Linked DNA regions of Oreochromis niloticus. Each later gene encodes a partner of the first gene's protein in a complex. Links are inferred from orthologs where the notes say so. Each region holds a gene or a part of one and is shown on either strand. Other genes may lie near its edges. The genes, in order: slc3a1; b(0,+)-type amino acid transporter 1.

Region 1 (16,527 bases):
CAGTATACAACCGTCTGAACCCATACAGGGAGGAGGATGGAGTAAGTATCAGTATATATGAAACATAAGTGCTTTGTCTTTGACCATTTAGACATAAAATGCTGAAAATGTTGAGGGCACATGGCAAATTTGAATTTCAGCTGTCCTATGTCTCAAGTTTCTTTAACGTATGACTTTAAATGCACTTAGTTGGCTGTAGTTGTACATTTAAATTAACAGTTGATCAGCTAATTATGTAGTCACAGAGTAAGTGTGTACGCTCTGTGTAACATATTCCCATGAAATACCAGTGGGAGATCTTCTTTTGTTAATCTTATGTTGATTCATCTCATGTGGTGGCCTAAGCTGGTGATTTATAGACAAAGTATAAAATTACTGACTTAAGATGTGGCTTTGAGCCCATCCCCTTTCAGTTATGTTAAATGCTGTTTTTCTCTACGCGTGGTGCAAGATGATACAGCTTTGTCAGGAAATGTTTGAGTGGAACTATGAAGTTGCAAGTGAAGACATTCATTTTCAGGTTATCTGCTTCAAATAGGCTTTTTTTTAAATCATTTATTTTATTTGCCTCCACCGTTTGGAGCTTTCTTTATCCTATCAGAAAAGTGTATGAAGACTCTTTAGTTAGGCTTTTAAGTGCAGTTATCTGACACTGGTATGAGAAGTTTTCCCATGTTTGAGCATGAGAATGTGATATGTGAATGTACATTTCTAAATTTACTTTGCTGCTGAATGGTAGATTTTGCTCTGCATCCTTCAGCTTTAGTGTCTTTATGTGTAATTTGAATTTTTTTTAAATTTGCCAATATGAACACAGACATTCACGCTCTCATACTGACACCCATTCACATACTGAATGAGGTAGTAAATCTACAATAAAATAATAGCAGATAAAGGCAAATACTAACAACAAATAGAAAAGAAAAACATCCACCTTTTAAAGCTTTCAAGTTTAATGTTTAATAAAAGAGTTTCCCCTGTAAGCCTGGTTTTCAAATGTTGTAGTGGTTGTAAGTGACAGTGACAGGAGATACTGTGCAGTGACTTTGACAGTGCTGTTTAACTCATTACATTACCTTCTGCTTTTTCTACTGGCAGAAGTTTTCCACTTTAGTCAGCATTTTAAAATTTGTGTCCTCATATTCGCCTTTTGTAAGTGACATATGTAGACACTGTTTTATACAGCATGTGCATAAAAAATGGAATCCAAAATTATGTCCCAAGGAAAATATTGACTTATTTTTATTTGCCAGTAAAGACAGACACCCTTTGTTACTCTGATTTTTTTTTTTTCTACAACCATAGACTGTATATGAAAGATAGCAATGGATAATTTAGTTTCGAACTCTGCATTTTAAATTCTTCAGTGTAAGCATTTTGGCTACCACAACTTTGGTGTTGGAGGCAGAAGTGACCTTATTTGGACAATAAGGGTGTGTACTAAGCTAGCAACTGGCAAACTTAGTTGACAGTTTGTAGACTCCACTGGTGCAATACACACACTACTGCTAATTAGTGCTAAATAATAGACTAATAAAATACTAGGGTATGAGTAAACAACACTGAAGGACAAACACACGGATTGTACTGCACAAGACACCAAGCTGTGTTATTTGTCAGATAATAAAGGCACCAACAGCACACACAGGCTGTTCAATTTATTGACTAAACTTAGTGACTGATTTAGATTCTGTTTGTGGAATTCTGACAGGGGATGGTAGCTAAGATGGCTATTTTCACACCCTAGATAAACTGAGGTATGAAGCACCAGTGTAAGAAAAATAAAGATTGTTTGAACTGAATCATGCAAAGCTTCTACTAGGGCCGAAATGAACATAATGGGTCCAGTTTACTTGAGGTGGATTGCTATAATAAGCTTTTCACTAATGTTTAATGGAAAGTTTAAAAAATGTCCAGGTGTTCTTTTCTAACTAGCAGCTTCATGTTCTTTGAGGTAATGGACAGTGCCAAGGCACTTGTTGAGCCAGGTTTTTAACCTGCATTTACATTTGCAGGTTACAACACATAAGCTCATTATAACCATAGAGGAGGAAAAACAATCAGCTTATATAAACAGTATTGTTATTGTTGTCCTCTTTCAAATATAGGCCTGTTTCTCTATTTTTATTATTATTATCATTATTATTAAGGGTAAACTGTTTGAGTGCTTATGAAATGGTTGCACTCCAAGTTTTGTCCAAGGATTCAGTGTTTTCTACAGAGATGGAAAATATGGAATTTTAAATCTTGGATTTTGCAGCTGTTGTTACCTGCATGCATATTTCACACAAACATGTCCTTTGACAATCACGACATGAAAAAAGGGGATCAAATATACATAAAGAAGTTAACTGCACAATTTACTGATTTCTTTTTCTTTTTCTTTTTTGTGGACCCATTTATTTTTTCTTTTTAAAAAAGAGAGAAATTTTTGATTGTTTTCACTATTTACTTGCCACTTAATTACTTTTGGTATAGTACGAATGGCCATTGGAGGGTCTGTTAAATTCATGAAAATATAGTTAAAAGTCCAAAATTTATGTCTTCCTTCACATTTATCATAGCGGTCCAGTGGGCCGGATTGGAGTCTGTGTCGGTGCAATTTTGGCCCCTGGGCCTTATGTTTGAGACCCCTGTTGCAGTAAATGGCTTACAGTACTGCATGTGTTAATGTATGTATGTAAATGTTTTTAAAGGATTGATAAGTTTTGTGTCTGTGAGAGAATCTCACACTGAGATTGAGGCCACTATTGTATTGTTTAGAATGATAAGCACTGCAGTGTCCTTAAAGAGCTCTACCTGCATATAAGGGGTCTTGTGTGGTGTGGGTGTGTGTGTGTGTCCTGTTAGCTGGATGTGATATTTGCCTCATGGTGTTGTCTTGGATTTTCTGTAATGAGTTAGAGGTACTGTGATTGTTTGCTTTGTGTACACATAATCATAGAAAAGAAATCCACACATGAAACGGATATCGGCACAGTGGGTAGGTTCTGTGTGTGACTGTACACTGTAACAAAAAGTTTTGAGTGCTACCACCTGCTAGGTGTTAGGAGAAAGAAACAAGGCTGCTTGTCATAACATTGTCAAATAGAGCCATCCTAGTTTAACCTTGACAGGTTTCTTTGTCTACATTAAGTGGCTAAGCCGTCCTCTACAGCTGCTGGAAAGAAGCATGTCATAGTAGCTCAATTAGTGCTGGTTGCACCCTTCATTTAAACATATTTTGCACATGGTGTGTAGTAAGGTACGCACCTGTAGTCACACAAACATTGACAAGGGATGTATCTATTGTCTAACTGTGTGTTCACCCTCTGATTAACGCAGCCCTCCTGTTTCATTTGGTAAGTGATCACATATATAACTGTTACACCCCCACCTCCCCCTTTTCCAACCCCTCATCTACACACATGCATACAACCACACATGCACACATGTGTACAAACACACATTCTTACAGGCATGTAAGTGGTGACCTGCTACACAAATCCTCCCTGTCACACCTTCATCTGTCTCTACTCCCTTCTCTGATCTGCTGTCCTGCATGTGGAGGTCCATTTAGAGTTTAAGGCGTGTTCATGTGGACGTCTGCAGACATGATTGTCGAGGTCTGATGAGGATGAATGATAAAGGTGTTTCTAGTCCTGTCCGTCCCCCCCTCTCACGTCACAGGCATACAAACACGCATGCACTGTTCCTACACGCATGCATTGCTGTCTCACTCAGTCTTTCAGCAGCTGCACGCAACTATACAACAGTCTTTGTTTCTGTGTCCCTCCTCGAAATAAGACGGAAGGCCTTGCAGTTGTTTTGTTGGAATATGTTAAAGAAAGACTCCGGAGACCGAGGTTGAAGATGTTTACTGCCTCACGCTGCTGTTGTAACAGCATTGTAAATATATTGTGTTGTTTCTTTGTTGAGTTGTGTTGGTCATAAGGAAAACTGACCTTCAGGTCTGGGTTTGGGGGAATAAATCCTTGAGTTTCACTTTTAAAATGTTTTGTTTAGTTTTTGTTTTTTGCTTTTTATAAAAAATGTCTTTTTTTTTCTCCCCACCCTTCTTCTCCTTCCTTTGTTTCCTGACTTTTCTCTTATTTCTTCTTCCTCTATTTTACTCTTCTTGTCTTCCCTGTTTTCTCCTCTCCCTCCTTTCCTTTTGCAGAGTGGAGCGGAATTGGAGTACCACTGGTAGCTGTCCAGTGCAACTGCCTGATCGAAAATACAGGACCACTATACCACATGAGATTACATTCATTGTCACCTTTTAATTTTTTCTGTAATTCTTTTTTTTCCCACACTGAGAATAACTGAAGCTGAAATCTTGGTTTTAAAAACACCTAATGTGGAGGACTGCAAAACTGTTTTTTTTTTTTTTTGTTTGTTTGTTTTTTTTAATAGAAAAAAATGGAGGGGGAGGGGGGGACACTGCGTTCATGTTCTGACTCAAGAACTGAATCTACAATATAAACAGAGCGAGGAGGAGAGGCCAACAAGCACAGTTTCTCTTGCCCCTTGTTTTCTTTTTTTTTTTTTTTTTTTTGTGGATTTGCAGAGACATAGGACACAGGTCTGAATCTTTTAGGGTTCTGTGGTGCCTTGCTTAGACCAGAGAGAGAGAGAAGGGAGGACCTCACAACTCGCCAGCCAGCCACGACCAAAACCAACCACTAGTGGATTCATTGTAAACACTGAGAAGGCTTAAAGTGGTTTGTGGCATTATTTCTTTGGAAGTGTGAACTTTTTCTTGCATCTGACGGGGAGTTGATCGACCACACAAGCCTGCAACTCAACTACACACCTTAAGCTACACTGTCCAGTTCAGGATCTGGGCATTACTGGTACACAAACAGGGGCCAACACTTCACTTACCAATGGACATGGCTCACTGGAGATCACCTTACAGAACTCACAGAAATGTAATAAAAATAACTAAATGAATCACTATCCAAAGACCTTGAGGTTAAAGCCTCAAATTCAGGGTCTGAAAGCCTGAGAATCCACACCTGACCATAAGGGGAGCACTTATGTGAGAGACTTTTTGGCACCAAATCCCAGTTTGGTTCCTGGATATTATGTCCAGACTTAAATGGGACGTGGACTGGTTTGCCCAGCTGCAAATACATTAAACTTGAGCGTGATAGCGACTCTTCTTGCACGTCTGCTTACTTTCTGTCTGCTCATCTCTTTCAGGATATTGTCACTTGATTTGTCACTCTTCCCTTCTGTCTGCCTTATTTTTTAAAAAAAATTTTGTTTTAACTTCAGTTTCTTTGCCTCTTCATGGGGCAGAAAAGACTCGGCTCTCATTTTGCATTTGCAGACAATGCCAGAATCATAAGCTTTTGAGCCTGCTGTTGTTGAAGATATTATAGAAAGATAGAAACTGTATATGAAATTCATAAATATAAAAAATATATATAGAGAGATATCTATATAGACAGAAATATTTTGATTTGTTTGTTGTCACTTAAATTCCCAGCCATGGTATTCATTGCGGCCTAATGTCGAAAAAAAAAAAAAAGAAGGGGGGGAAAACACCTCCCCACCCAATAAAAAAACCCCATGATGCTGCACACACCGTTCCCACACAGCAGCGTTCCAAAGACAGGGTTTGGGGTAAAGGAATTCCAACCGCCCCCTCATCCTTAACACATGCGCACACACAATCCTGCTCATGCTACAGCTTGCCTTTTTCTATCTCTCTGATATCCTGTGTGTGTATATATATTAAAAAAAGAAGAAAAAACAAAAAATACCTTTTTTTTTGGTTTAGATTGTAAACATTTATTACCTTAAATATATGCTTTTTTTGGTATACTTTTTTTTTTAATTACTATTGCTGTGGTCCTGTTACAAATGGATAAAGAAAACAACAAGAGGAACCTGAAACATACCTTTTACAACATATTGGGAGACTTGGGTTTTGGCTATTCACTGTATGAAGTCAAAGGAGGGACACTGTAGGCAGAGGAGAAGGGGTTCTACACTGAGAGTTAAATTCACAGTCACTGAATTGGTGTCCTTTTTCTTTTTTCCCCTCTTTTCCCCACAACCACCTTCATTGACTTTACCTTGAAGGCACAGGACAGTTGCTGATTTAGGTTGGGTTTGGGTTTACCAGGAGTCTTTTGTGTTAACCTAAGCACTAAAAAAGTGATGGAAGCTTTAGAAATGGATATTTGTCAGGAAAGAACTCAAGTCTTTTACAGTGTGCGCACACATGCATTGTCTATGTGTGTGTGTAGTATTTAGATGGGGTTAAAATATGCTATAAATACAGAATCATTTAATGGCATGTAATGTGCTTTCTGAAGTGGCAGTATTGGAAGAGAATACACCTGACAGAGATTGCTGGCTGGTTAATGTTATTGTGGTACACTTGCTCTTGGTGCCATATGACAAATAGGTACTTGAATGTGTAGTTCTTTTGCAGTTACAGTTGTTTTATTGCAATGATATAACTTTTCTTTGTGGTGGAGGGAGTGGGAGGGGTGGTATCTCCTATTGGTGCATGTTTTGTGATTGAGGAAGGAGTGTAATTTGCGTGTGATATGCACTGGGTGGGTGGGTGGGTGGGTGATAATGTGGACAATGTTCAGTGTGGTGAAACACAATGTTGGAGAGGAAAGGCAGTGATAGAGGAACAACCTGTAGATGAACTGGAGCACAAATGAGGATATTAATTCACTTTTAGGGACTTAACGTACAAATTAGATTTCCCTTAACTTTAAAACCCTAAACCACATGTTTCCCACCATTCCCATTGTGGACATTGTCATATCTCATATTCGCATACTTTTTAACATTGTGCAAGCTTTTACCACACTGAACATGGTCTTCAGTTTAGGTTTTTGTTTAAGCTATATCAGACACTGGGCTTGGAGAGAATTTAAGGGAGGGAAGGACAGAGACATTTATTTTTCTGAATGTAATTCTTCATTACTCACACTGATTCCACTGCATGGACTGAATACAAGCAGCACTGCAGCATCACATTCTCTCCTCATCGGTCATTTAATGGCAGAACAAGCTACCTTGGCTTCCTTTGTTTAAAAAACAAAACAAAAAAAAAAGTATATACTTGATCATTATTCTGATTGTGGAATATAATGTCAGAACTTATGTGGGAAGACATAAGATAAAGGAGACTTTGAAAGTTTGGCAATGCCTGGATAATTTGACCCTGACTTGTTGCTATGATTTAACGTTCTGTTGAGTAAAGAGAATTTTACAAGCATTTGGTCTCCTGAACCTGTCGGTTATTTTTGGGCCGGGTTGAAGGTTTACATTCCCTGTGGGCTTTTTAGCATAGACATGTGTTTCTGGTCACTCTTCATATACAAGTAGAAATTCCAGGGGTTTTTTTTCAGGACATTGTTTTAGCTCCTAAAACATCAGAAAATCATCACCTTTGTGCACCATCCCTTCGTCCAGCGTGCTTTATAATGTTGAAAGACCAAATGATGAACATAAATGTCAATAAAAGACTGAAAGGTTTAAACAGCTATGCTTTTTGCAGTTTTAGTTTGAAATGTCAGCTATTATTATGTATGCAATTAAAGTTCAGCACAACACAACAGCAAAGCTGTATTTTATGTATATTTTTTTCAGTTTAGGATCTGTGAGCTGTGAAAAGAAATGTTAATCAACACATTGTTGAAGCAAGCAAGAGGGCGTTTTGTACAAGAATAAGTTACCATATAGGTCAGAAAAGAGAGCAGCGAGTCTAACATTAAGATTGAAAGACTGACACAGGCACACAAATGTGTCAAGGGTTCTTTTTTGTAATTTATCATAAGTCACAAGATGGTAAATCGGTGGCAATAATAACAGAAGATCGATTCCTAGAAATCTGAGATACTGTAAAGGGCAAATTGAAAAGGAATTCTATCATTTGTAAATCTTAAATGTATTTTCTTCATAAGGGAAAATAGAAAACATCAAATGCTTAAAATGAAAAAATGTAGCATTAAAAAAAAGTCCCCAAAATGTTTATACATTTTTAGCATCCCTTCTTCTCTCGACAACAGTTCATAAACTTGTAGGAACTGAGACCAGTTCCAAAGGTTTTCAGTTTGGTCTTTAATCTGTATGGAGGGGTCAGGGGATAGAGGTCACCAAAAACACACTGCCAGTACAGTTAAGAAGCCTGGTCAACCATTCCTAAAGACTTCTTTAAAAAATTACAAAAATGCTTATCTAAGAGAGGCTGTGTTAAAAAAATAAAAAAATAAATAAAGGTGATCACACCAAATATACACTTGTTAGAACAAAGTCAGATTTCTGCCAGCGTTAAGAAGTTTAAGTACACATTAAATCCCTGAGATAAGATAAGATAAACAAGTGCAATTTCAGCAGTACATCCTTCTACATGATAAATGTGTAAAAAATAAAGACAGATAAAGTTCTGCTAGCTCACTGTCTCGAACGTCCCGTATTTATGAACCATAAAGTTTTTGTTAATTGACAGCAAATTTTTCTATTTAGTTTGCAGAAATTTCTAAAGATGGTAAAAAAAACAGGAATACTGTACTTCTGTCATTACGTAATGGATACACAATTAAAACACTTTATTGTAGTATGAATGACTGTGACAGAAGTTATTTATCAGCAGGAAAAGCTGTAAAATTGGGCGTCCTATGGGCCAGGTTGGAGACTTTGTCACATTTTGGCCCCAGAACTTTAAGTTGAACACCCTTGATTTAGGGTGTATTTTATGTATATATATTTTTTTCAGTTTAAGATCTGTGAGCTGTGAAAAGAAATGTTAATCAACACATGATGCGTTTTCTAGAATTAAAGAAATGGAGTAGCTCTTGGGGTTTTGAAAGTTCACAAATCCCAAAATAGGAAACACATTTAGTTCAGGTGCAACTTTATCGCCTACAATGTTAAAAGGCAACTTGCGCCTCGGTGCTTTTGTTTGGTTTGGAAGGTTACATTTGAAGTAACTGATGTCTCAGTCGTAGTTAATACTGTGTACTGAAAAAATGCTAATCTGTAACCAGTCCCATCAACTCTCCACTTTCCCACATTCCACAGGTGTGTCAGAGACGGGCTCTACTCCGTGTACTATGACCCTCTGACTGTATTATCTTTAATGTGCGCTCTCCGAGTCACTCATTGTTCTTGAGGCGAGCTACACAACCCGACACGGTTCGTTTTAACAAACAACATGAGTTATAGAAAAGACTCCGACAGCGTGGAGCTCGGGGAATGCACCAGAAACCCGGGTTACAAGGATGCAGACGGAGACGGGCCAGCAGCGAGGGACAACATCAGCGTCTCCGACAGCGAGGAGAAGCGGGACTCCATCGGCGTGAAGCGGCTCTCGGACGCGCGAGATGAGTACACGCAGATCAAACCGTACGCCGGGATGCCTAAGGAGGTGCTGGTGCTGTACTCCTCTAAGGCCCGGTACCGAGTGCCCCGAGAGATCCTGTTCTGGCTAACGGTGTGCTGCACCCTGGCTCTGGTGGCGGTCACCATCGCGGTGATCGCGCTTTCTCCGAAGTGCCTGAGCTGGTGGCAGGCCTCCCCGGTGTACCAGATTTACCCCCGGTCCTTCAAAGACTCCGACGGGGATGGGGTGGGAGACCTCAAAGGTAAGACACCCGAGGCACTACTGCAAGTTCTGATAACGACTGTTCGAAGATTTTCATTAAAACAGGTGTTCTTATACACGACACCAATGACGCTCCGCTTCCCACAGTGGAAGGCAAATACTGTTACACTTTTGAGTCACTTAGAGCATTTCCATATTATATTGTGCATTTCAAACTACTGTACTTTTAACACCTTTAGGCCATATTATAAATACTTCCCCATATACTCTTATAGATTATACTTATAGAGTAGCCTACTATTGAAATCCTGCAAAATCGCTGTGATTTTTTTTTGCCAGTTAAAGCCTTCTATGAACTCTTGAGGCTCCATTTTTTAAAACAATGTAGCACCCTTTCTGAGATGGTGTATACTTTGCCAAATTCTTGTAAATCCACAATGTCCTGGTAGATTTTTCACTCTGTCAATCTAACAGCTGCTCTTATCAATTTCTTATGTTTGGTCACTTATACAAGAGTAAATTATTAACTTTATTTAACCATTAATAATAATAATAAACTATACAAAGGGAATGGTAAAACTGCATTTGGTTGTTTTCAATGGCTCATTTATAATATTAAATATGCAGATGCTTTTTAGAGGGAAATGACAGTGCTCTCATTATATTGCATTATTTCCTATAAAAAAAATTACTAATGCATGCTTTCAGTACTCTCTTTTCCTATCCATAGTCCTTCAGTCTATTAGGACTGAATTTCAGCACCGAGTGGTTACAGTAGATCCTGTATCTCCCGTCTGACAGGCATCAAGGAGAAGCTGGACCACTTTGAATACCTTAACATCAAGTCAATTTGGATCAGCCCTTTCTACCGTTCTCCCATGAAAGACTTTGGGTATGATGTGGAGGACTTCCGTGATATTGATCCACTCTTTGGAACCATGAAGGACTTTGAGGAACTCCTGGCAACAATGCACAGCAAAGGTGTGCACTTTGAATACCCTTGTTTATGTGAAAATGTGACGCTAGAAGGTGATTTTGGGGGGTATGAGTGTTTTTTTATAGCAGGCTGCATGTCTGACACACAAATACCTGTCTCCATTTCCACCAGGTTTGAGGCTAATCATGGATTTCATTCCCAATCATACCAGTGATCGACACCGCTGGTTCAACTTGAGCCGGACTAGAGATCCTCACTATGAGGATTATTACGTGTGGACTGACTGCAAACCAGACGGACCGAAGCCTAATAACTGGGTTGGTGCTTGTTCTGTTCTTTTCTAGCTGGTCTATGATTTTGTCTTCTTCACATTTTCACTGAACCTTCACCAAGTTCATAGTACTAAACAGGTGCAATGTACTGGAATTTATATCAGATTTGTTTCCCATCTTGCACTCAGGTGAGTATCTTTGGGAACTCATCATGGACATACGATGAAGTTAGAGGGCAGTGCTACCTCCACCAGTTTCTCAAGGAGCAACCAGACCTGAACTTCAGAAACCCAGATGTCATCAATGAGATGATTGTAAGAACTGTATTATCATTCTTGTGTCCTCTGTCCACCTTTAACAGTAATGTGTGACACACTGATTACACATTAACTTGTACCAGTTAACCTATATGTTTTTAATTGTGGCTGCACACAGCGCAAAGTACAACATAAGCAATAATGGGCTGTACATAAACATTATTTCTACTCAACTGTCTTTGCTATAGTTAAATGATTTTATCTTTCTGCAGCCTTTTCACACATAATGTAGATGCTAGTTTAACTGCTCTATATGCATTTCTTTTTCTCAATTTTAGGATATTATTCATTTCTGGCTGGATAAGGGAGTGGATGGCTTCAGAATGGATGCAGTGAAGCACATGCTGGAGGCTCCACACATGAGGGATGAACCACAGGTTGATCCAAACAAACCACCCGTGAGTGTTAAACTACACATCTAACCTCATTGGTTTTGCTGAGTTCAGCTAAAATGACTCGTCACTAATGGGCGCCGCTCGTGTCAGACAACAAAACCTGCTGGCTTTGTGCTAGCTGCCATCTGCTCACACACTGACTTGACAAAGACGGTCAAATAGCTGACATTTTCATTTTTAATAGTGATAGACAGAGTGGGTGTAACAGGTGAAGGTGTAGCAGTTGTTTAGTGACAGTTGTGATTAAATGATTTTGAGTCTTTTCACAAGAACACATTCATTTGCAGTACTTTTATGACAGTACAGTAAACTCATTGTCATGTACAAGTTTGATCTAAACCTTGTGACATTGTGTGCTATCCTGCTAGAAGCAGCCATCAATAGATGAAATAACACTCAGAAAATATATCTCCAACAACATTACACCACCACCACTAGCCTGAACCTTTGATAAAAGTCATGATAGATCCATGCTTTCATGTGAATTGTAGCCTCAGTTTACAGGAGTGACAACCAGCGTGGTCTTCTGCTGCTGTAGCTCATCTGCTTCAGGGTTCAAGTTTTTAGGTATTCAGAGACGCTCTTATGCATACCTTATTTGTGATGATGTTTTTTTGAATCACTGTTGCATTCATATCCGCTCAAAGCAGTCGGGCCATTTTCCTCTGACATAAAAGCGCTAGGACTTTCAAGAATTTTTAAGTTGGGATTTGTTATGATGCAAAATCAATTTTAAGATTATGCATTTGTTTTGGTAAAAGATTAACCACCAGGTTGATTTACCCCTAAGTCTGGGCTCACTTTGCCCGACAGCCACCACTGTGGAAAAAGAAAACCAGAGCCACGTTTTGGCTAAAGCAATCCCATGTGTTTACTCACTGGCACTTCATCAACATGTGATATAACTTTATAACCTAAGATAAATAGCTTTTGATGTGAAACTGATAGATGATATCTGTTATGCCAATAAAATCTTTGACAGGCAAAAAGCATTTTACGGTGAAAAACCTTTAAATATATCTACTTCATCTATAAGGTTCTTTGTTCTGCAGTAAGTTGAAAAAGGAAAATGCTCAACAAATTTGGGGTTAAATGACAAGAACTGTGCATCGTTGCTCAGATAAAGGTGGTGGATGAACTTAACAGTTCTAAGAATCAAAGCTGTAACTTAGAGTTATGCAGTCATAATTTGATTTTATTGACTTATGTAATTATCTGAAATGTCAGAGTCCAAAATTTAACGATCTGATCCATGAAAGCAGTACTGTGTGCAGAAGCAGCTTCACTGAAGAAGAACTTTCCCTTGTTGCTAGTAGAATAAAAATAATCAAAAGCTGAGTGGGACTGTACACACTGTGTATGATGTATCACTGATTATTTATCTCTAGCTTAAATGTCAACTTCATAGTCATGTGAAGAACACACTGTTTGTGAAACTCAAAGGGTTCGTGATACATGCTGAATTAAGGTCAAAGAGGCTGAAGATATTTCTCACAGGGGAAAGATTAGAAGCAAAGGAGCATATTTTGGTGGATTAGCAAGTCATTAGGAGTTTACTTACGACTGCAGGGTAAAACCATAACACTGGGACTCTTTTACTCACTGATGACTGAGAATTTATACCCACAGATTTGCAGTTAAGTTACATTTTTACAATCTGATCATGTTTAACCATGAGGTAATTTTTAAACCAAACAACTCTTTGCCATCTTAGAAACAGTAACGCATTTTTACAAACCACTGGAACTACAATTCTGCAATCGAGAAAGATATCTAAAAGTTTATAGGCATATTAAGAATTTTATCACACCCTGAGTTGTGATTCAGCTAAATACGAATCAGAAACCATCTGCCTCTACATTATTGCTTTAGTGGTTTATGCTGTGGTTGCTGTTGGCTGAATGGTTCACTTGCCTGACATTAGGCCAGCTTAATGGCTTGAGATTATCTTTCAAAAAAGACATGCACATTAGGTGTAATTTTAGAACTGTGACATCACTGTCTCTGTGCAGGTCTATGGCTGATTCCCTTAAATCTGTAAACCCAATGCTTTACACTCTGGTAACGCCAATAGTTGTCCAGTGAGTCAGATTTCCTCAGCGCCTCCATAATTAGAACTTAACAGAATGTTTTTTCTTCCTTTGCCTTTCTCGCCCATTTTATTTGGACAGTTACAAAAATAAAAAGTGTGAAGAATTAGCAGAAACTTTCTTAATCCACAGTTTCTTACTCAGCAAACTTTGCTCATAGAAAATACAAACTCTAACTCCAGCACACAGCCTGAAAGTAGCTAAGCTATACTAAAATTGCATAATCACTACATAACCTTTTACATATTTCTATCCAGGAGTTGGTAACTACAGAGTGGGATCTCCACAGTGACTACACCACCAGTCAGGTGGGCTTGCATGACATACTGAGGGAGTTTAGAGCACAGATGGACATCTACAGTCAAGAGCCTGGCAGATACAGGTAGGAAAGTGATTAAGTGCATTCAATATTACTATGGCAGAACAGATAAACTTGTAATGCACTCGCCTACTTAATTATTACTACCTGTAATTATCATGTCACAAACATCCTTAATATTAAAGACCTTTTGCTTATACAATGCACTAATGTTCAAACCAAACTATTTCATTAAATATGCTAATAAAAGCAACTTGAAATCTAGAATAAGGAATTGAGCCCAGATTTTTTTTAATTATTTCAAATAGTAGGATAAACAAAATCAGCTAATAGACAATATCCTGACACAAGTCATTGTGGTTTCTGTGTCATATCACATGCAAAATAAATTCCTCCTGTGCTGCAGATTCATGGTAATAGAGTCATACGATTATGAAGAGGTGTACAAGACCATGATGTACTATGGCACCAAGCTGGAAAAGGAAGGTGACTTCCCCTTTAACTTTTACCTGCTGGATCTACCCCAAAACACCAGTGGAGCATGGGCTAAGCATCTGGTCCACCTCTGGATGGGCAACATGCCCAAAGGAAAATGGCCCAACTGGGTGGTGAGTTCTTAAACTCATATTTATATATTTATTTCCTCGCTTTTTACAATGGTAAAAACCACAGGATCAGTAGCGTCATGTCCTGCATAATGTGGCACATAACATGCTGAAATCATCAGATTAAGGAATGTGTCAGCAGCATTCATAAGAATGAACTGTCGAGTCATCCTTAGTAGACTGTCTGCCTGAGATCATGCTTCTGCTGTCGTATCTTTCTAACCACAGGTCGGTTTATGTGTTTGTTAATCATCAACCCCTTTGCAGTGATAGTTTGACAAACACTAGGCAATTAAATTAAATTTGTCAATACAAAAACCCTCCTGTAAAGCTAAATAATTAGTAGCTGAGTAAAAGTAAATTAAGCATGTTTATTTTCTGTAATTACTATTGATTAGGCTCAAAAGTATAGCCTTTTTACTTTATGTCCATCTCCAGACTTTAGCACCTAACACATATTAAGAAAACAAATATGTGTGCATATCTCTTTCCTGAATGACCTAACCCATCCCTTTCAGCCCACCTCCTTACTTCCTAATTTCTTATTCAACCCGCTGTCTTGTTTTTCTCTTACCTACACTGTTATCAGGTTGGAAACCATGACAGGACTCGGATTTCTTCCAGTGCTGGTCAACTCTATGTTCGTGCCATCAACATGCTGCTGCTGACCCTTCCAGGCACAGCCACCACCTACTACGGCGAGGAGATCGGCATGGAGAACATTAACGTGACAGCAAGTCAGATACAAGACCCAGCCGGCAAATACAATACAGTCAGTACTGTGCACACACTGAAGAAACCTTTAAACCCTCACTGTCACACATCTCTGTGAGAGGTCCTTAAAAATAACCAGTTTAATGTCATTTTAAAAATAACAATAAATAAACATAAATATAACAACATAAATGTCTTTACTTTAAAGGACATTTTTGCAGTCTTGTTGTATCTAATACACTTGTGACTGTATACATGAGCAAATATACCAATATGATTCCTCTGCTTTCGCTGCAGAGTGCCAGTCGAGACCCTCAGCGTTCTCCATTGCAGTGGAATGCTAACATGAACGCAGGTTTTAATGATAAAACAAATCTCACCTGGTTGCCACTACACCCCGATTATGAAACGGTCAACGTGGAGGTATAGATCTGTTTTTCTAATGTTCAACTTTGAAGAAAGATCGTTTTCTTATGTGTATCTTTCTATGGTTCATCTGTCCTCCTCCCATTCCTTTATTCCCAGGCCCAGATGAAAGATGATGGTTCTGTTCTGGCTCAGTACCGCTTCCTGAACACCCTGCGTCAATCAGAGCTCCCCCTTAACCGTGGATGGTTCTGCTACGTCCACACTGATGCCAATGTCTTCTCTTACATCAGAGAGCTTGATGGACTTAAGCGAGCTTTCCTCATAGTGGTTAACTTTGGTAAAGAATCAGTTGTCACAGATCTCTCCTCTGTTCGTGAGCTGCCAGATGAGTTGAAGGTGCTGATGAGCACCAACAAAGTCAATGATGGCAAAGTGTTTCCGAAGTCTCGCATCCAGACAGAAGTAGGAGAGGGTTTGGTGATTCAGTACTCCACCAACACTCGGTTTAATCCCAACCATCCTGAAGAGTGCTACATCTCTGAGAAGGCTTGCTATTTGGAGACCATAGGCATACTTTATAAATGTCAGTAAAAATGGAGATGAGTATCCAATAACTGCTGTATTATGGAAACAATCAAAGCATTAAGATTTTTCTCTGGTGTTTCCTCTACAATGTAGTTTTTTCTTATCTTTGAAAGTGTAATTGCTGTTATTATTATTAGATTTGGGCACCAGTCTGTCTAGTTGCTGTGATGGAAGATGCTCTGTTTTTCATGCCCGACTGCTTCTTCATAGCCTCGCTATCTTCTCCGCTTGCGTTGAGGCCGAGGAGGGTCCAGGCCTAGCTCCATGTACAGAAATGCAAGCTCGAGGGCTTCCTTTGTTATGGAATAAAAACCAAACAAACAGTATGTATCTGTCATCACCCATCCAAGTGCTGAAACTCA
Region 2 (16,289 bases), on another chromosome or scaffold:
TACTTCATGAAGATCTGCTCCATTCAGATGCTTTTGTGATGCTTATTCACGTACAGCGAGTACAGACGAATACAAACAGAATCTGAATGTTGCAAGAAATCAGGAAATGTCAGGAGCACTAAGTTTGCTGATATGTTTGAAATACTTTATTTTTTTGTTGATTATAAAGTGACAGCAAGGTAGGACTGACATGCAGTAAATGGCAGAGCTGTAAAGTCCCCTGCAATGCTGAATTATAGCGTGTTTTAGTGTTTATTGTATTAAAAAAAGATAACAAACATGGATTTCCCCTGTAAATCTTAATGAGTTTTGAACTTAAACATCTTTCAAACAATCTTTTACAATGAGCTTAAATGAAAGTTGTGAATTTACAATAAGATAATTTTAAAAATGCAAGTAAAACACTTTAAATGCACCTTTACATAAAACAGCAACACTGCATTATCAGATGTAATTTAACATGTAAGGATAATCCATGGAAAAAGGCTTATTTTATTGGTAGCTTTCAGTTATCTGCATGTTATCAAAGATGCTATCTATGTGTGTTCAGTAAAAATTACAGGTTTTTGTCTGCAGGGGCGACCTCTAAGAAGAGCTGCAGGAACACTGTTAACTTGTCCAACATTCCTGGGCAGAGTTTGTAATGGATGAAGGGTATGTAGACTATAACACCACTTAAGATAAATAAAGCCACGTAGAGGTACTCAATCTGAGGATTGTCTATGATGGGTGCCAGCACGAGGAATATCGCTGCAGCGAGGACCAGTATAGGAATTACAATGGGAACCTGTGGGGAGAGGAAGAACCAGGCATGAGGACAAGATGTTATTGTCATATAATGTTAAAAAAATGATGACACTAACCTTGTATGGCCTTGGGAGGTCCGGCTTCTTGATTTTGAGATAGATGAGCCCAGACAGGACAATGGCATAGAAAAACCAGGCGGTGAAACTGAAAACAGCAAAGGAAGAGGAATTTAAGACAAACAAAAAAATGCAATGTGTGTTAAAAAACAAACGAAGTCGAAATGGAGCAGAAACAGAGTCAGCCTTCACCTGAAGTAGTTGACGATACTCTGAAAGTCTCCAGGAATCAGCACCACCAGAGAGATTATTGTGGTGAAGATCAGCGCCGGAGATGGAGTCAGTCTGTGGACGTGGGCCATGGACAGAATATCTGGCTGCAAAACCAGCACAGGTCTGTGTGAAAATCTGCATGTAGCTTTATTTTAAACAGGTGTATGCGTTCTCATGAGACAGAGAGACTGTTACCATGTGTCCTTCCCGGGCAGCAACAAAGCACACACGGCCGCCGCTGAAGAACGTCCCGTTTAGAGAACCGAAAGCTGACAAGGCTGCGGCCACAGACATGACCCAGCCCCAGCTGCCCAGCACCTTATTCCTGCAGGGAAACCGTTTCTATTACAAAACATCTTATAGTGCATATCAATCAACCCTTTTCTATATACATTTCAGTAATTTAACAAATGAAATCAAAAACATCCTCTGTGGACTTATGTAGGAATAAACCTTTTGGACAGGATGTGATGTCACCTCAATGTAATATTTATCTTGAAAGGTGTTGAATGGGGCCTTTGCTGGTGTGACCAGGTTTAACACTACAAACATCTGTTCTGAGGCCCCTTCTGCCTATGTAATAGTAATAGTAATAATAATAATAATAATAATAACGATGATGATGATGATGATGATGATAATAATAATGATACATTAGACTTGTAAAGCGCCTTTCAAGAAACCCAAGGACGCTTTACAAAACATAATAAATAAAAAAGGCTTAGAGATTGAAGGTTTTATTGAAGAGGTGAATTTTGAGAAGTTTTTTGAAGGACTCCAGTGACGGGTTGTTATGAAGTTCATATGGGAGAGAGTTCCAAAATGACACCCAGACTGTGAACCTTGAGGGAAGGCCAGATGAAGAAACCATCTATATCAGGGGTAGGCAACTCCAGGCCTCACATGCCGGTGTCCTGCAGGTTTTAGATCTCACCCTGGATCAGCACACCTGAATCAAATGATTAGTTCATTACGAGGCCTCTGGAGAACTTCAAGACTTGTTGAGGAGGTAATGTAGCCATTTAAATCAGCTGTGCTGGATCAAGGACACATCTAAAACCTGCAGGAGACCGGCACGCGAGGCCTGGAGTTGCCTTCCCCTGGTCTATATCAATGAGTAGATGGCCAGTCTTCTGGAGTAGTGCATTGGGGGCCTCAACCAAGACCTCTGCGTTATTACTGTTGAGCTTGAGTAGGTTAATTGACATCCATATTTTGATTTCATGCAGATAGTTGACAAGTGATTGTGGGGGAGCAGGGTAGAGAGTTTAGTACAGAGATAAAGCTGTGTATCATCAGCATAGGAATGGAAGCAGAGACCGTGGCGGCAGATGATCTGACCAAGGAGGAACATAGAGACGGTGACGAGAAGGGGTCCAATTTCTCTTGGTATTTGTGTGACACTAGAAGTGAGCACCTCACAGTAGTGATGCTCTTTGCTGCCATTCCTTCTATGTTTGAAATGTTTGGAGGTGACTCGTAAGTAATTTTCCTTACAGTGGATTGATGAGTCTTGCGAGAAATCACATCAACTGTGTAAGATAAATTTCATAATTATTTGCACAGTGGGTAGATTTAAATTACCTATTAATCACCAATTAATCCCGCTGGATGATTTAATCTGTGGTATCAACATGGCAGGGAGCTAACATGCTAATAAAGAGGATTCAAAATGGAGACAGGATGGCAACATCCATCTTTAAATATAGTCTGTGTTTTCAACTTACAAAAGCCCCATTTGTTTGAACATCAGTAATTTTAATGCATATATCAAATGACTGTACAGAGAAGAGGATTTCTTCAGGTTTGCTTCCTGTTCTATGGGAGAAGTAATAAAAAAAGGTCTTATCAGGTTGAGAACAGGTGTTGTCTTACCCCCAGGTAACTGCTACCGCGCTTGAGGACATGAGCTCTTTAGGCGTCATTACTGTCAGATAGCTCACATTCACCAGCAGGTACAAAGTAGTCACAAGAGAAATGGCTATCAGCACCGCCCGAGGAAGATTCACCTGTACAAAAAAAAGAAATGACATGAAATTAAATTAAATGTCATGACATGACATGGTTGTTATGTTTGGCTAAATCTTGATTACATATATTAACAAAGCAGTCTCACATGATAAAACAAAGCCTCCTTGAAGATTTACTTTTTTTTAATACTTTGCCAAACCATGGGGGGGAAAGCTCACCAAACAACACCAAGCACCAAGTTTCATGCAGACAGGACAAACTGGTGAATTATTATAAACTGACATGAACAATACGTATGATCACACTGAAGTTTTAACTACTTAAGATAAACTTAATTTACCCCCAAATTTCTTAGAATAAATAAAAATATTAAATTCCTAATCAAAAAGGCATAAACTTTATTAAACACTTTAAAGAGCTGTAATTAAAAAAAACTTTCATTTATTCTGGAAAATTTGGAGAAAGAGAAAAATTATGGTTGACATGCTTCTTATACTTGACATACTCAGAGTAAGAACTGCAATTACAACAATCCTAACAATGTCAACTTGTGTACCTCTTTAGTCACCTCAGAAACTTTAAACACTGATTTACAGCGTTGTAGGGATGTGTTTTGGTACAAAGTCAATAAATTACCTGAAAAACAAATTTAGAGTTTAGGGGGGGGGAAGGTAAGTGGTCATTTTTCTCAGGATAGCAGCAAGACAACAATCATAATTCCCTGCAGAATCTTTACCAAAGCACAGGTTATAAACTGTATTTTTTATTTTATTTTATTTTTTTACATATAATGTGCATAAATACTACTATTTCAGATCACTTCTGACCCTTTCAGCCTCACCTCTGGTCTGTTCAGCTCCTCAGTCACATAGTTCAAGTTGCTCCAGCCACCGTAAGACCAGAGACCTTGAAGTAAAGCCTTTCCCAGAGTGTTCAAAGAAAACTGAGTTCCTTGAAAAGCATTCTCAACGTCAAAATTTTCCTCGATCACAGTGCTGCCCTGTAAAACTTTCACTAGCCCTCCAATTACAATGAAAGTGAGTGAAAACACTTTGGCCACCAAGAAGATCACCTGCACTCTCAGAGCAAGTCGGACATTCAGGATGTTGGTCATGGCAGCTACCAGAATACTAAAAGCTGCAAAGCATTTCACAGCCAGCTGAGGAGGTGGGCAGCCTGGGTAAAAGGGAGCCATGACATACCTTGCAATGGTCATTGCTTTTGCTGCAATGCTGGAAGGTTTCAAAAGCAGGATAAAAGTGATTGCCGCGAAGAAGGCTGGGAATGAACCATAGATCCTCAGGATGTAAGTAAATTCCCCTCCAGATTCAGGAATAATGGTCCCAAGCTCAATGTAGGAGAGAGCCCCAAACAAAGCCACAACACCTGAAAAAACCCAGATTAACATGCTGGCCCCAGGACTTCCCACATATGCCAGGACATACTGTGGGGACATGAAGATACCAGCTCCAATCATGCTTCCAGAAACTATTGCTACTCCGCCAATCAACCCAATCTCCCTCTTCAGTTGCAGGCCTTCGTTTTTTTGGGTTTTGTCCGCCATGGTCATAGAGAGCAGGGAGCACAAAGCGACACGTCTACAGAGCAGACTGAGAAAGATACAAAGAATTCAGACGCTACAAACTGCGTAGAAAAAGCTTTCAAAAGAAATCACGTGGTGTAAAATATACTTGTTTTGGCTTCAATTAAATATTAACTCTACAGTTTTCTAACTGTGTGGAAAAAGTGCTAACCACTGCACCAATGAGCCACCAGTTGGTTATGGCTTAGATTATTATATCCTAAACCAGTATCAGTTTTTATGTTACAGTTTGTCCTGGCCTGCTCATCTAAATCAGTAAGGAGATAAAAAAAAAAAAGCACAATCATGAGTGGAGACGCACAGTGTTGGCATGCTTCATCTTTATTTTGACTTTCTATAAACTTCTAATAGTAAATATTGAAATTCTTACTTCTGGATGTTTCACCTCCTCAGTTAAACAATTTAAAGTGTTCCAGCCATCATATGACCACAAGCCCTGATAGAAAGCAATGCCAATGGAGCTGACCCCTACGTTGGTTCCCTCAAAGGAGTCCTCAAAGTTCTCAGTGTGGCCCTGGAAAAGCATCACAATGCCTCCCAGGATGATCACCACCAGGGCCACCACCTTCACTGCCATGGTGACCACCTGGATGCCAGTGGCCAAGCGGACATTCAGACAGTTGATTATAGCCAGCATCAAGATTGATCCGGCAGCCACGAACTTCACAGCCAGCTGTGGAGGAGTGCAGCCGCTGTAAAAGGGGGCCACAGCGTATTCAGCAAAGCTGAGAGCGATTCCTGTGCCACTAGCCGGCCTCATGACCATGATGAAGCTGAAGACGAACATGAAGGCCACCACTTTCCCTGCAGTCCGCAGTATGTAAATGTACTCGGCTCCAGACTCTGGTATGATAGTGCCCAGTTCAGCATAGCACAGCCCCCCCAGCATGGCTATCAGTCCACAGCAGGACCATATAATGAAGCTGGCCCCTGGGCTCCCAATAGTGGAAAGGACGTACTGGGGAGAAATGAAGATCCCAGATCCAATCATGGTCCCACCAATGAAGGAAATTGCTCCTATGATCCCCACTTCCCTCTGCAGATTGAGTCCATGTGTGTCATGTCCCATTGTCAGAACTCTGTCTTCTCAGAAGCAGCAGAGAAGATCAGACATGTGCAGTTATAAAACACTGCCTGTTGCACAATAGGAGGAGTGCACAAAATTAAACTGCTATGAAATTAAAATCAGGCTATTTTTTAAGCAGATTTTATGGATGTCTGTTTGTCCAGAGTTGTTCTTTTCTCCTAGGTTTCACGTAAACAGTGATTTATTTTAGGTTCTGCTCTATAAAACACAGTCAGAGAAGTGAAAAATTAAAAGTATAGACCGTTTTGAATATTTCCAGTCTATTGGAAATGTCCCTGCAGGCCAAGTGGATTCTTCTGGTGTCCTCAATTCTTTCTCTGGTGTTTGTCCATATTATGTTTACTTGTGTCTGGATCTACATGACCTACATTAAGATCAAAAACACTGAAACTTTAGTAAAAGATTAGACAGGGCCTCATCTGAGTGAAGAAATGAACAGAGTATCTGCATGACAATGTTATCAGAGGATGGGCATGACTTGGCCTGGTTCTCCCTTGTACCAATTTAAGCGGTCCAACAGAATAACATAAAACTAAGTTGAATATTTACTTTCTTTAATACTTTGCTAAACCATGTAGTTAAAAATGCTCTCCAAAGTTGAACTCTTCTTTTGATTAAAAAGACTCTAGTGTGATATAATAGAAAAGAACACCAAGCACCAAGCTGCAAAATTCAGTCAGTGGAAATGGGTGAATTATTATGAAATAATATGAAAAAGGACAATCACACTGAAGTTTAAACCATTTAAGATAAGGATAAATTAAGTTTATCATAAGTTGGAGTATTTTTAAATAATTTACCAAGTCTTTAAAAATATTAAATTCCTATTTAAACAGTAATATTATTATTAGTGCTGTCAGCGTTAATCTTGTTCAAATGACGTTAACGCCATAACCGCATTAATGCGCCAAATCTCCATTAGCGAGTTACCGTGGATCGCCCCGTGCGTGGGGCTGCACAGCGTCAACGCGTTAATGAGCTACCTGTGCTAATGCGTTGACACTGTGCAGCCCCACGCACGGGGCGATCCACGGTAACTCGCTAATGGAGATTTGGCGCATTAATGCGGTTATGGCGTTAACGTCATTTGAACAAGATTAACGCTGACAGCACTAATTATTATATAAAATGCTGCAAGGAGCTGTAACTAAAAACAAAGTATTTGTTCTGGAAAAGCTGAAGAGACAGAAAAATGTTGGTCAAAATGCTTCTTGTTGTAAAATATATTCTGTTACTTGATCCTCATATATTATATTCACTGTACATCTTTATGTACAGTCTTTGATACCAAGGAGTCACGCCCCATTGGAGTTAGGACCGAAGTGATAGCAATCCAAACATAATGTCCTCTCATCTACCTTTATTATCCCCATACAACACCTCAGACACATTGATCACTGATTTACAGAGTGTTATAGACAACCCGTGTTAGGACAAAGTCAATAAATTACCTGAAATACAAATTCAGAGTTAAGGAAGAAAATATAGCAGCATATAGGCATCTTTTGCAGTAGAGCATCAAATCATTCTTGACAGATTTTAAGCTGTATTTTAAAAATTTAGAATGAATAAATGCTACTATTTTAGGTCACTTCTGACCCTTTCAGCCTCACCTCTGGTTTGTTCAGCTCCTCAGTCACATAGTTCAAGTTGCACCAGCCACCGTAAGACCAGAGGCCTTGATAGAAAGCCATTCCCAGAGTTCCCACAGAATACTCGGTGCCTTGAAAAGCATTCTCAACGTCAAAATTTTCCTCGATCACAGTGCTGCTCTGTATGACTTCCACTAGTCCTCCAATTACAATGAAAGTGAGTGAAAACACTTTGGCCACCAAGAAGATCACCTGCACTCTCAGAGCAAGTCGGACATTCAGGATGTTGGTCATGGCAACTACCAGAATACTAAAAGCTGCAAAGCATTTCACAGCCAGCTGAGGAGGTGGGCAGCCTGGGTAAAAGGGAGCCATGACATACTTTGCAATGGTCATTGCTTTTGCTGCAATGCTGAAAGGTTTCAAAAGCAGCATAAAAGTGATTGCCGTGAAGAAGGCTGGGAATGAACCATAGATCCTCAGGATGTAAGTAAATTCCCCACCGGATTCAGGAATGAGGGTCCCAAGCTCAGTGTAGGAGAGAGCTGCAAACAAAGCCACAACACCTGAAAAAACCCAGATTAACATGCTGGCCCCAGGACTTCCCACATATGCCAGGACATACTGTGGGGACATGAAGATACCGGATCCAATCATGGTTCCAGAAACTATTGCTACTCCGCCAATCAATCCAATCTCCCTCTTCAGTTGCAGGCCTTCGTTTTTTTGGGTTTTGTCCGCCATGGTCATAGAGAGCAGGGAGCACAAAGCGACACGTCTACAGAGCAGACTGAGAAAGATCACAAAGAATTCAGACGCTACAAACTGCTTCGAAATGGCTTTCAAAAAAAAAAAAAAAAAAAAAAAAAAGCTCTCAATGTGATCAAGGGGTCGTAAAACCTACTCGTTACCCTCATTTAAATATTAACTCCACCGTTTTTTTTGCTCTATAGCAAAAGTGCTAACCACTGCACTAAAGGGCCAACAGGCTTGGGTCATCATGTCTAAAATTTATATTAGTTTTCATGTTACTTTGTCCAGTCCACTCATCTAAACGATATTTTATCTTCTTACTCGTTTAGTAAGAAGATAAAATATATACAATCCTGACTAAAAAGCCACAGTTTTGGCTCGATTTATCTCATTCTTTTTGTGTTTCTATAAACCACAAAGAGTAAATGTTGAAATTCTTACTTTTTTGATACCTTAAGATCATTTTACCTGTCATCCCTGAGGCTTCTTCAGTTCTAAAAGAAAAGGTGAAGAGTTCCAGGTATTCAACCGTAGTGGGGGTTATCCCTATTGGAGGGAGTTGTTGATCTACTAATTATCATATGTGTCATCACATGAACCAAATTGTTAAAAAAGTACCAGTTTTTGAAGCTCTTAAGACCACCATGAGTTAGATTACTGCAAACCTACACAGACTTACTTCTGGATGTTTCACCTCCTCAGTTAAATAGTTTAAAGTGTTCCAGCCATCATATGACCACAAGCCCTGATAGAAAGCAATGCCAATGGAGCTGACCCCTACATTGGTTCCCTCAAAGGAGTCCTCAAAGTTCTCAGTGTGGCCCTGGAAAAGCATCACAATGCCTCCCAGGATGATCACCACCAGGGCCACCACCTTCACTGCCATGGTGACCACCTGGATGCCAGTGGCCAAGCGGACATTCAGACAGTTGATTATAGCCAGCACCAAGATTGATCCGGCAGCCACGAACTTCACAGCCAGCTGTGGAGGAGTGCAGCCGCTGTAAAAGGGGGCCACAGCGTATTCAGCAAAGCTGAGAGCGATTCCTGTGCCACTAGCCGGCCTCATGACCATGATGAAGCTGAAGACGAACATGAAGGCCACCACTTTCCCTGCAGTCCGCAGTATGTAAATGTACTCGGCTCCAGACTCTGGTATGATAGTTCCCAGTTCAGCATAGCACAGCCCCCCCAGCATGGCTATCAGTCCACAGCAGGACCATATAATGAAGCTGGCCCCTGGGCTCCCAATAGTGGAAAGGACGTACTGGGGAGAAATGAAGATCCCAGATCCAATCATGGTCCCACCAATGAAGGAAATTGCTCCTATGATCCCCACTTCCCTCTGCAGATTGAGTCCATTTGTGTCATCTCCCATGTTTAGAAAGTTTTCGTCTTCTTAGAAGCAGCGGACAAGAATAAACACCTGTAGTTGTAAAACGTCTGTTACATAAGAGGAGGAGCACACATAATTATACAGCTACGAAAAGTAAGGTGAGGCTATCAGCAGCATGGCTGTTATATGCTGTTATATGCATGCCTGTTTAAAGTTGTTCTTTTCTCTTAGGTTTTCACATTTTTAGAAACTAAAAAGCTAAAAATAAAAATATGAGAAAATACAAAACTGCTTAGCAATATGGTCTCATGAACAGCATGAGCAGTTCTGCATGACTTAGCACATTCCTAACTACCAGGTTATAGCGCTGTAAATCCAGCAAAACCACAAACTCTCCAGTGCAAACTGTGGGTTGAGATGAGATTTTTGCATCATGAACTGTTTAAAGGCACTCAACTTCTTGCTGCGAGATGCCCCAACTAACACACAAAACACCAGATTTAAAGTTGCTGTTGTACTCAAAAATATTTATTAGGGGATTTTAACCTTGAGCCACATCTTATCAGGAAACCAATTCCTAGAAATATTCGTCTACTCTGGGATAAACACGTGTGGACCAATAGATTAGGAAAATTAGTAACTATTATTCTGTTATATTCTGAAAGGGAAAATAGATTTTTTTTGATAGGGGAGAAATAATGTATTTGATTCCCTGCTGAATGTTTAGAAAGAAAAGAACAGCCTCTAATATTCTTGTTGTCTGAGCAAGATTCTTGTTCATTGTCTGATGTTGTGTTAAATGTCTTTTTTATTGCTTTTGCTTCACTTGCTGTTTGGCTAACTCTGACATATTTACATTAATATCCACTGTCCCGTTTAAATAAATACATTCAAAATCAAATCTTTTAAATTATAATTGAGCCAAATAAACTAAATAAATAAATGCAAACGGATCTAAACCTGAATACAGAACCACAGAGTGTATCTTGACTTCAGGAGAAAAACACAATAATCATTTAATGGGCTCATGTTAACAATCCATTAATATATCATCCAACATCTGGGCTACATCCATCTATGTAAGACATTAAATCACTGAATTATCCCCAAGGTCAGTTTAATGATTTATTGGTTGAAAATTGACAGCTGACTCTTAAAGGTACCAAGATTTAAAACGTTTAAATAATAACAGTGTGATACATGTACAATGTTCCTGAATAAGAGAAAAAAGATAAAAGTTATCATTGTTTTTCACTTGGTCTTTATTACTAAACACAAATTAATTTGACCTAATAATTAAATCAATGCCTACTCCTATGTCGTTATTGCATTCACAAACTTGGGTGCCCACGTCGCCCGCCCGCCTGTGTGATGACAATACCTCATCTGCATTTTATGGCTCAGGGGAAATAAAAAGTAATTATACTCAAATTATGTTGTTTATTAAAATGTGTTTCAACGGGGCAAATAAAAACCTGCACTACAAACTTCTCAGAGTACTTTTAAAAAGAAAAAAATAAAATGAATATGAACTAAATTTAACACTAATCCCTTAAAAGTAAATGAACTGCCTTGGTGGGGGTTTGTGCTCGCCCTTCTTGTTAAGTTTTACGATAAGAAACTATTGATTTAAGTTTATGGTCTTATTATGCTACCGAAAGATTAGAAATAGGAAGAATATCAACAGAAAATTTTTTTTTTTCTCTATGTGATGTTCATAATACACACTACTAACAGATAATAGATCTGAAATTAAACAGTTTATTCATTTATTACCTCTGTCGCTACTGTGCTTCTCTGGCCTCAACACAAAGGTCTCAGCCGGTTATAGCTCAAAGTTCACGTTAAACATTTGTTTCTAAGCAATAAAAATAAATTATTTTCTCCCTGCAGAGAAACCATTACTTATTTATTCGGGGTGATTGTGTTTTACAGTCAGGGCGTGGGTCAGCCTCTGAAGACCCTCCCACTTACCTCGGGACGTTTTAACTCTTCAGTCACTGAGTTCAGATTGTTCCAGCCGTCGTATGACCACAGCCCCTGGTAGAAAGCAATTCCTATTGAATTGACGCCAACATTTGTGTTCTCAAAGGAGTTTTCAAAATTCTCAGTGTGGCCTTTGATAAGCATCACCACACCTCCTATGATAATCCCTGTCAGAGCCAAGACTTTGACTACAGTAAAGAAAACTTGGATTGACATTGCAAAGCGAACATTCATGCAGTTCACGATGGCGAGCGTGATAATTGCCGCTGCAGCCACGCACTTCACCACCAGCACCGGAGGGGGGCAGTCTCCGTAGAAAGGAGTTGCAACATAGGTGGCAAAACTCAGTCCCATGCCAGCAATGGCTGCAGGTCTCACAAAGAGCACAGAGCTAAAGATTAACATGAAGGCAAGCACTGGACCTGAAGTCCTCAGAATGTAGATGTACTCGCCCCCTGATTCTCTGATAACTGTGCCGAGCTCGGCGTAGCAGAACGACGCCAGAATTGCCAGCAAGCCGCAGGACGCCCATATCACCAGGCTGGCACCGGGGCTCCCAATGGAGCTGATCACCGTCTGCGGGGTCATGAAGATCCCAGATCCGACCGCTGTCCCCACGATGAGGGACACGGCTCCCAGCATCCCCAGCTCCCGCTTTAGTTTGAGCTTCTGCGGCTTTTCTTCCGTCATCACTGCAGTTACACAGCTGCTTACAATCTGACACCTTTAACAGTGGAGAAAACACAATAATAGCGTGACCAAAGTCACTATTGCATCAACACAAGGAGTTAATAATTATGTGGGCGGCTCATACAACCACCTGTTTTGCTTGGTATTCTCACACGGCCTCATATGTTTGTTGGGCTTTTCTTATTGGCTGCTTCAGGGATGACAGAGATGCACAGCACCTAAGCAGCCCTGAGTCAGAAGTATGTAAATCAGACCACAAAGACTCTCTGTTGTACTCCTTCACTGGCCTTGAGATGTTATGTTACCCGCTAATAACATATTATCCCGATAGAGCACATCACTGTGAGACTGCAAAATGGGAGGTAGAGCCTTCAGCTTTCAGTCTCCTCTGGACAAGGGCTGGTTTCACAAACATACTCTAGATCAGTTTTTAGGATAAGACTAGACTTCATTTTACGCATTTGTTATTCTAATGGAAATTAGACTGTTTTATAAAAAGACCAATTTAAAGCTCTAAAATAGTCTCCTTACCCCCACGAAAACTTAAGCCTAGGACTTATCAGTGACATCCGCTTAGATCAGCTGCATTTAATAAAAAGAGGGGAAAAAATGGGTCATAATCTATGGTTCACCATTATTTTTGCACCTTTCTGCATGCATTACCCTTTCTGTTCTCGTTTAATGTATTGTTTCAATTGATAGTGGCCTCTATATACTCCTCCAGCTCTCTCATTTTTCCCCTCATGCCCCAAACCCGATGTAATAGATTGTTACCCCTCCGCGAGCCTTGCTTTGCTGGGGGTTTCTTGATGCTTAAAGGCGGTTATCATCTCCCCACCTTTGCTTGTTTAGTAGTCATAAAACAGGAGCGAACTGGAATTAAATAAACAACCTGTAAGAATAGTGTTGTCACCTTCAATGACCTGTCTGAAATGGGGGTCTTCTCATTCCTTTGGACCCTCAACATCAACATTTACATGTTGAGTTTGTGAGCTTTAGTCGCTCCACATTTATGTCCATGATTCTCACGGTGACATTGAGGTTTTAATCTACACTGTCTTTGATTAAGTTTTATGAGGATTAATCTGAACTGTAAATCATCCAAAGCTAGTCTAGCAGGTTTTTTGGCTTGAAATTCTCATTAAATTACTGCATGATCACCTCATGAAAACTATTATGCAATTATTTTGGCACTTCATGGCCGTGTTAGGTCACATATTGCTATGCATGAACTTTAATCAAGTAAAAGATAAGAAAAGTTTTTTAATAATAAACATCCAACTCTTTCTTCTTACCAGTGACAACTTAATAATCTCTTTACAAATGAAAGGAATGTTTTATGGTCTCCTGCAACAACAAGGCCAATAAACATGTTTTCTGGTGCATGTGGAAACTTTCCTGATTATTAAGCATGGTAAACACCTATGCTCAATTTACTCCAGCCGTCCTTCTCATATCTATCCAGTGTCATCATACATTTTTGTCTTCCCCTCCCGTGACAAAGAGGTGAACAGCCTTGTTGGAGTTCAGCATCTGTCCTGCTCGCTGTGCTCCGGTGATGGCGGCCAGTTTGTGAGCGTCGTAGCGCGAGTAGAGTGCCGTGCAGGTCCAGCTGGCCTCCTCCCCCTGACTTGCTGTTGCCAGCATGTTACACACCTCGCTGTAGAAGTGTGGGAAGGAGGGCAATCCGTAAAATATCAGGTTCTGTATCCCTTTGATTGTGTACCTAAAAGAAGCACGTCAGAGATCAGGCTCTTTTAAACCAAGAACAACATGGGCCATCATTTTCTCATGGTTTTTTCCAGTTAAAAACAGCTGCTTTATACTTGGTGGAGCTAACTGTCATCCAATCTGCAAACTGGATTTCTGATGCAAACCAAGCTATCGTAATACAAGGACCAAATTCCCTGCAATAATAGGCCAGTTCCCTTAAAGTCCACAAAATGCATGTAGACTGGTTGGATGCCCTCAAGAAGACAAAGGCCTGGTCCAGTGATGGAAAAAAAAAAAGCAGTGAAACAGTTTTACCAAGAAAGGAGCCAAACTGAGGGAAGCAACCTGGGTTAGACTAGTGAGAGTTAGTAATAAAATTCTATTAAAATTAATCGTCAGCAGCTTGGATACCCAAGTTGGTGCTGATCTTTTAAAGGTTTAAAAAAAAAAAAAACCGGACTAACTGCAGACGAGTAAGTGAAGTGTTGCTAAAGGCAACGTAAAGTGCATTAAAGTAGTCCAGATGTTTTATCATAAAAGCATGACTAAGAAATTTGTTTAAAAAAAAAAAAAAAGCTTAAGTAGATTTCGCCTTGAATAAAAGGCTCAGCAGGTAAAATCTTGCTTCAAGAACAGAAATAATCTGCCCATCTAATTCGACACTTTGGATTGTCACTGTAGGTTTAGCTGAAGGCCCAGGAGAGGAGCAGTACAGACACCACTTGATGTGAACAGAATGACCTCAGTTTACTTAAATGAAAAAAACCTTTAAGGCCACCCAGGCTTATAAGTATTTAAAGCCACCAGCAGTGGTTTAAGGGAGCTGACATGGTTTCTTTTTATTGGCACGTAAATTACGGTATCATCTGCAATTAGTCCCATAGGGAAAGAATAAAGAGAGAAGAGAATTGGCCCAAGAATTAAACCTTGTGAATGGTTGAGGAAGGAAGGTCACCAAGACGAGCCGAGAAGGTTCTCTGTGATAAATAGGACCTAAACCACCCTTGATGCCCTAGTGTTCTACACAGGACATGAGATTGGTGTAGTTCACTGCGTCAGAAGCATCAGTAAGATTTAAAAGCACAATAATAGTGAAGTCATGCAAGTTAGTTAGTAAAAGACCATTTAGAATTCACAAAAACATGGATGATTTTCAGACCAGACTAGAAAACTTAAATACTGCGAGTGCCTAAAAAGAACTGCTGTTCTAAAAGTACAGTTTTCTCTAAAACTTTAGGTATGTATGGCAGTTTTTAAATAAGTCTAAAATTAGAGAAAACCAAAGCACTGAGATTTATGTTTTAATCAGCAGGAGTACCACAGCTTATTAATATTAGTCTGAACGGGGTATTTAATTTAAACAGTGGTCTGAACGATTGGTCCAATAGTCTTCCAGAGCTCTTTAAAAAGGATCAAAGGGAGCACATTAATGGGAAAAGAAACTGGCTTAAGCTGAATGACTATTTTCTTTAAGCGAGAGGACAGAACTGATAATAAACTGTCCTTTATTACCGCCTACAGCAGAGGATACACGAAACCAGTTTCTATAACAGGAAACATTATAATGACATGCATTGCTGATACGATTTGACATTTCAACAGCCTGTTTGACCCCGAGCTGAACTATCACGCCGAACGATCACGCAGAACTATTACACTATCACGCTGGTGTAATAAAATCTTATCAAGTTGTTGCCTTGAGAGCATATATTTATATAAGCTTCCTAAATAGAGATCATGAGCTGTATTAATTGATCAAAGTGCATTTAAGGGTTTAATGTCACTTAATTTGCTTAGTAAAAACTGTTGGAGTAGTTGCAACCTTTAATTTAAATAATTTTCATTTCAGATCGGCTGGGATAAGCAATGAATGCAAGGCATTGTTTACGTTGCAGTAATTCTAAACAAGGAGGAAATTAGTTGGATAAATCTAGCAGAAAAAGGCAAAAATATCTTCATGTTTTCTTTTGAAATATTTAGGAATTATTCCATGATTAGGCATCTATGTGCTATAAATTTTTAAAAAAGAAGCATCAAAGCAACAACAAGATGAAAACACCTGACAGTCCTACAATTCTTCTTCTGACTGCTCCCTTTAGGGGTCACCACAGCAGATAATCTGCCTCCATTTCAGCCCAGCCAAAGTATCCTCTGTCACACCAACCCCCTGCATGTCCTCCTTCACTTTATCCACAATTCTTCTCAAGGTCTTTGCCTCCTGCCTGGCTTCTCCATCCTTTGTTGAATATATCCTATATTCTTTCTCTTCACATTTCCAAACAAGCTCAGCATTGGCTCTCTAACTTTGTTTTCAAACTGAGCTGTCCCCCAGATGTACTTATTTCCAGTCTTGTCACTCCCAATGAAAATCCTACGACCTTCAGCTCAGCCTCCTGTGATTTATGTCAGTACCACCACCTCACAAACCACACATCATAGCAGCTCTCACTACCATCTTGTAAAACTTCCCTTTCACTCTTTC

What was found.
Region 2: the proteins of slc3a1 (region 1) and b(0,+)-type amino acid transporter 1 are in contact, whole or in part, in a cryo-EM structure (PDB 6LID), measured with the Homo sapiens proteins. The link is inferred for Oreochromis niloticus from reciprocal best matches to the Homo sapiens genes SLC3A1 and SLC7A9. Residues at the interface, in NP_000332.2 of Homo sapiens: Pro64, Tyr65, Ala66, Gly67, Met68, Pro69, Lys70, Leu73, Phe74, Phe76, Ser77, Tyr82, Pro85, Arg86, Phe90, Thr93, Val97, Leu100, Ile101, Ala103, Thr104, Ile107, Ile108, Ser111, Cys114, His201, Asp202, Thr373, Glu374, Pro375; in NP_001119807.1 of Homo sapiens: Cys137, Phe140, Tyr141, Val142, Gly143, Cys144, Pro147, Ile149, Val150, Cys153, Leu154, Ala156, Ala157, Leu160, Phe161, Thr164, Leu168, Thr279, Thr281, Asp295, Arg296, Tyr299, Tyr343, Val346, Arg347, Lys467, Thr470, Met471, His472, Gln474.

The regions. Positions count from the first base shown.
Region 1 is NC_031978.2:11,068,243-11,084,769, reverse strand, and holds the start of slc3a1 (neutral and basic amino acid transport protein rBAT), read left to right. Parts: upstream 1-9,017; 5' UTR 9,018-9,172; coding exon 9,173-9,602; intron 9,603-10,363; coding exon 10,364-10,543; intron 10,544-10,670; coding exon 10,671-10,816; intron 10,817-10,959; coding exon 10,960-11,085; intron 11,086-11,366; coding exon 11,367-11,486; intron 11,487-13,830; coding exon 13,831-13,955; intron 13,956-14,298; coding exon 14,299-14,500; intron 14,501-15,086; coding exon 15,087-15,269; intron 15,270-15,508; coding exon 15,509-15,634; intron 15,635-15,736; coding exon 15,737-16,171; 3' UTR 16,172-16,380; coding exon of another isoform or gene 16,381-16,458; 3' UTR 16,459-16,527. Other genes in the region: ppm1ba (protein phosphatase 1B), read left to right, coding at 1-41, 4,160-4,189; prepl (prolyl endopeptidase-like), read right to left, coding at 16,381-16,458. UniProt on the Homo sapiens protein: Acts as a chaperone that facilitates biogenesis and trafficking of functional transporter heteromers to the plasma membrane.
Region 2 is NC_031983.2:24,847,842-24,864,130, reverse strand, and holds b(0,+)-type amino acid transporter 1, read right to left. Parts: upstream 8,143-16,289; 5' UTR 8,080-8,142; coding exon 7,351-8,079; intron 6,240-7,350; exon of another isoform or gene 5,720-6,239; coding exon of another isoform or gene 5,021-5,719; intron 4,708-5,020; exon of another isoform or gene 4,658-4,707; coding exon of another isoform or gene 4,646-4,657; exon of another isoform or gene 4,618-4,645; coding exon of another isoform or gene 3,889-4,617; intron 3,086-3,888; coding exon 2,952-3,085; intron 1,402-2,951; coding exon 1,272-1,401; intron 1,181-1,271; coding exon 1,056-1,180; intron 952-1,055; coding exon 864-951; intron 788-863; coding exon 557-787; 3' UTR 32-556; downstream 1-31. Other genes in the region: b(0,+)-type amino acid transporter 1, read right to left, coding at 4,646-4,657, 5,021-5,719; utp25 (U3 small nucleolar RNA-associated protein 25 homolog), read right to left, coding at 13,565-13,820. UniProt on the Homo sapiens protein: Associates with SLC3A1 to form a functional transporter complex that mediates the electrogenic exchange between cationic amino acids and neutral amino acids, with a stoichiometry of 1:1.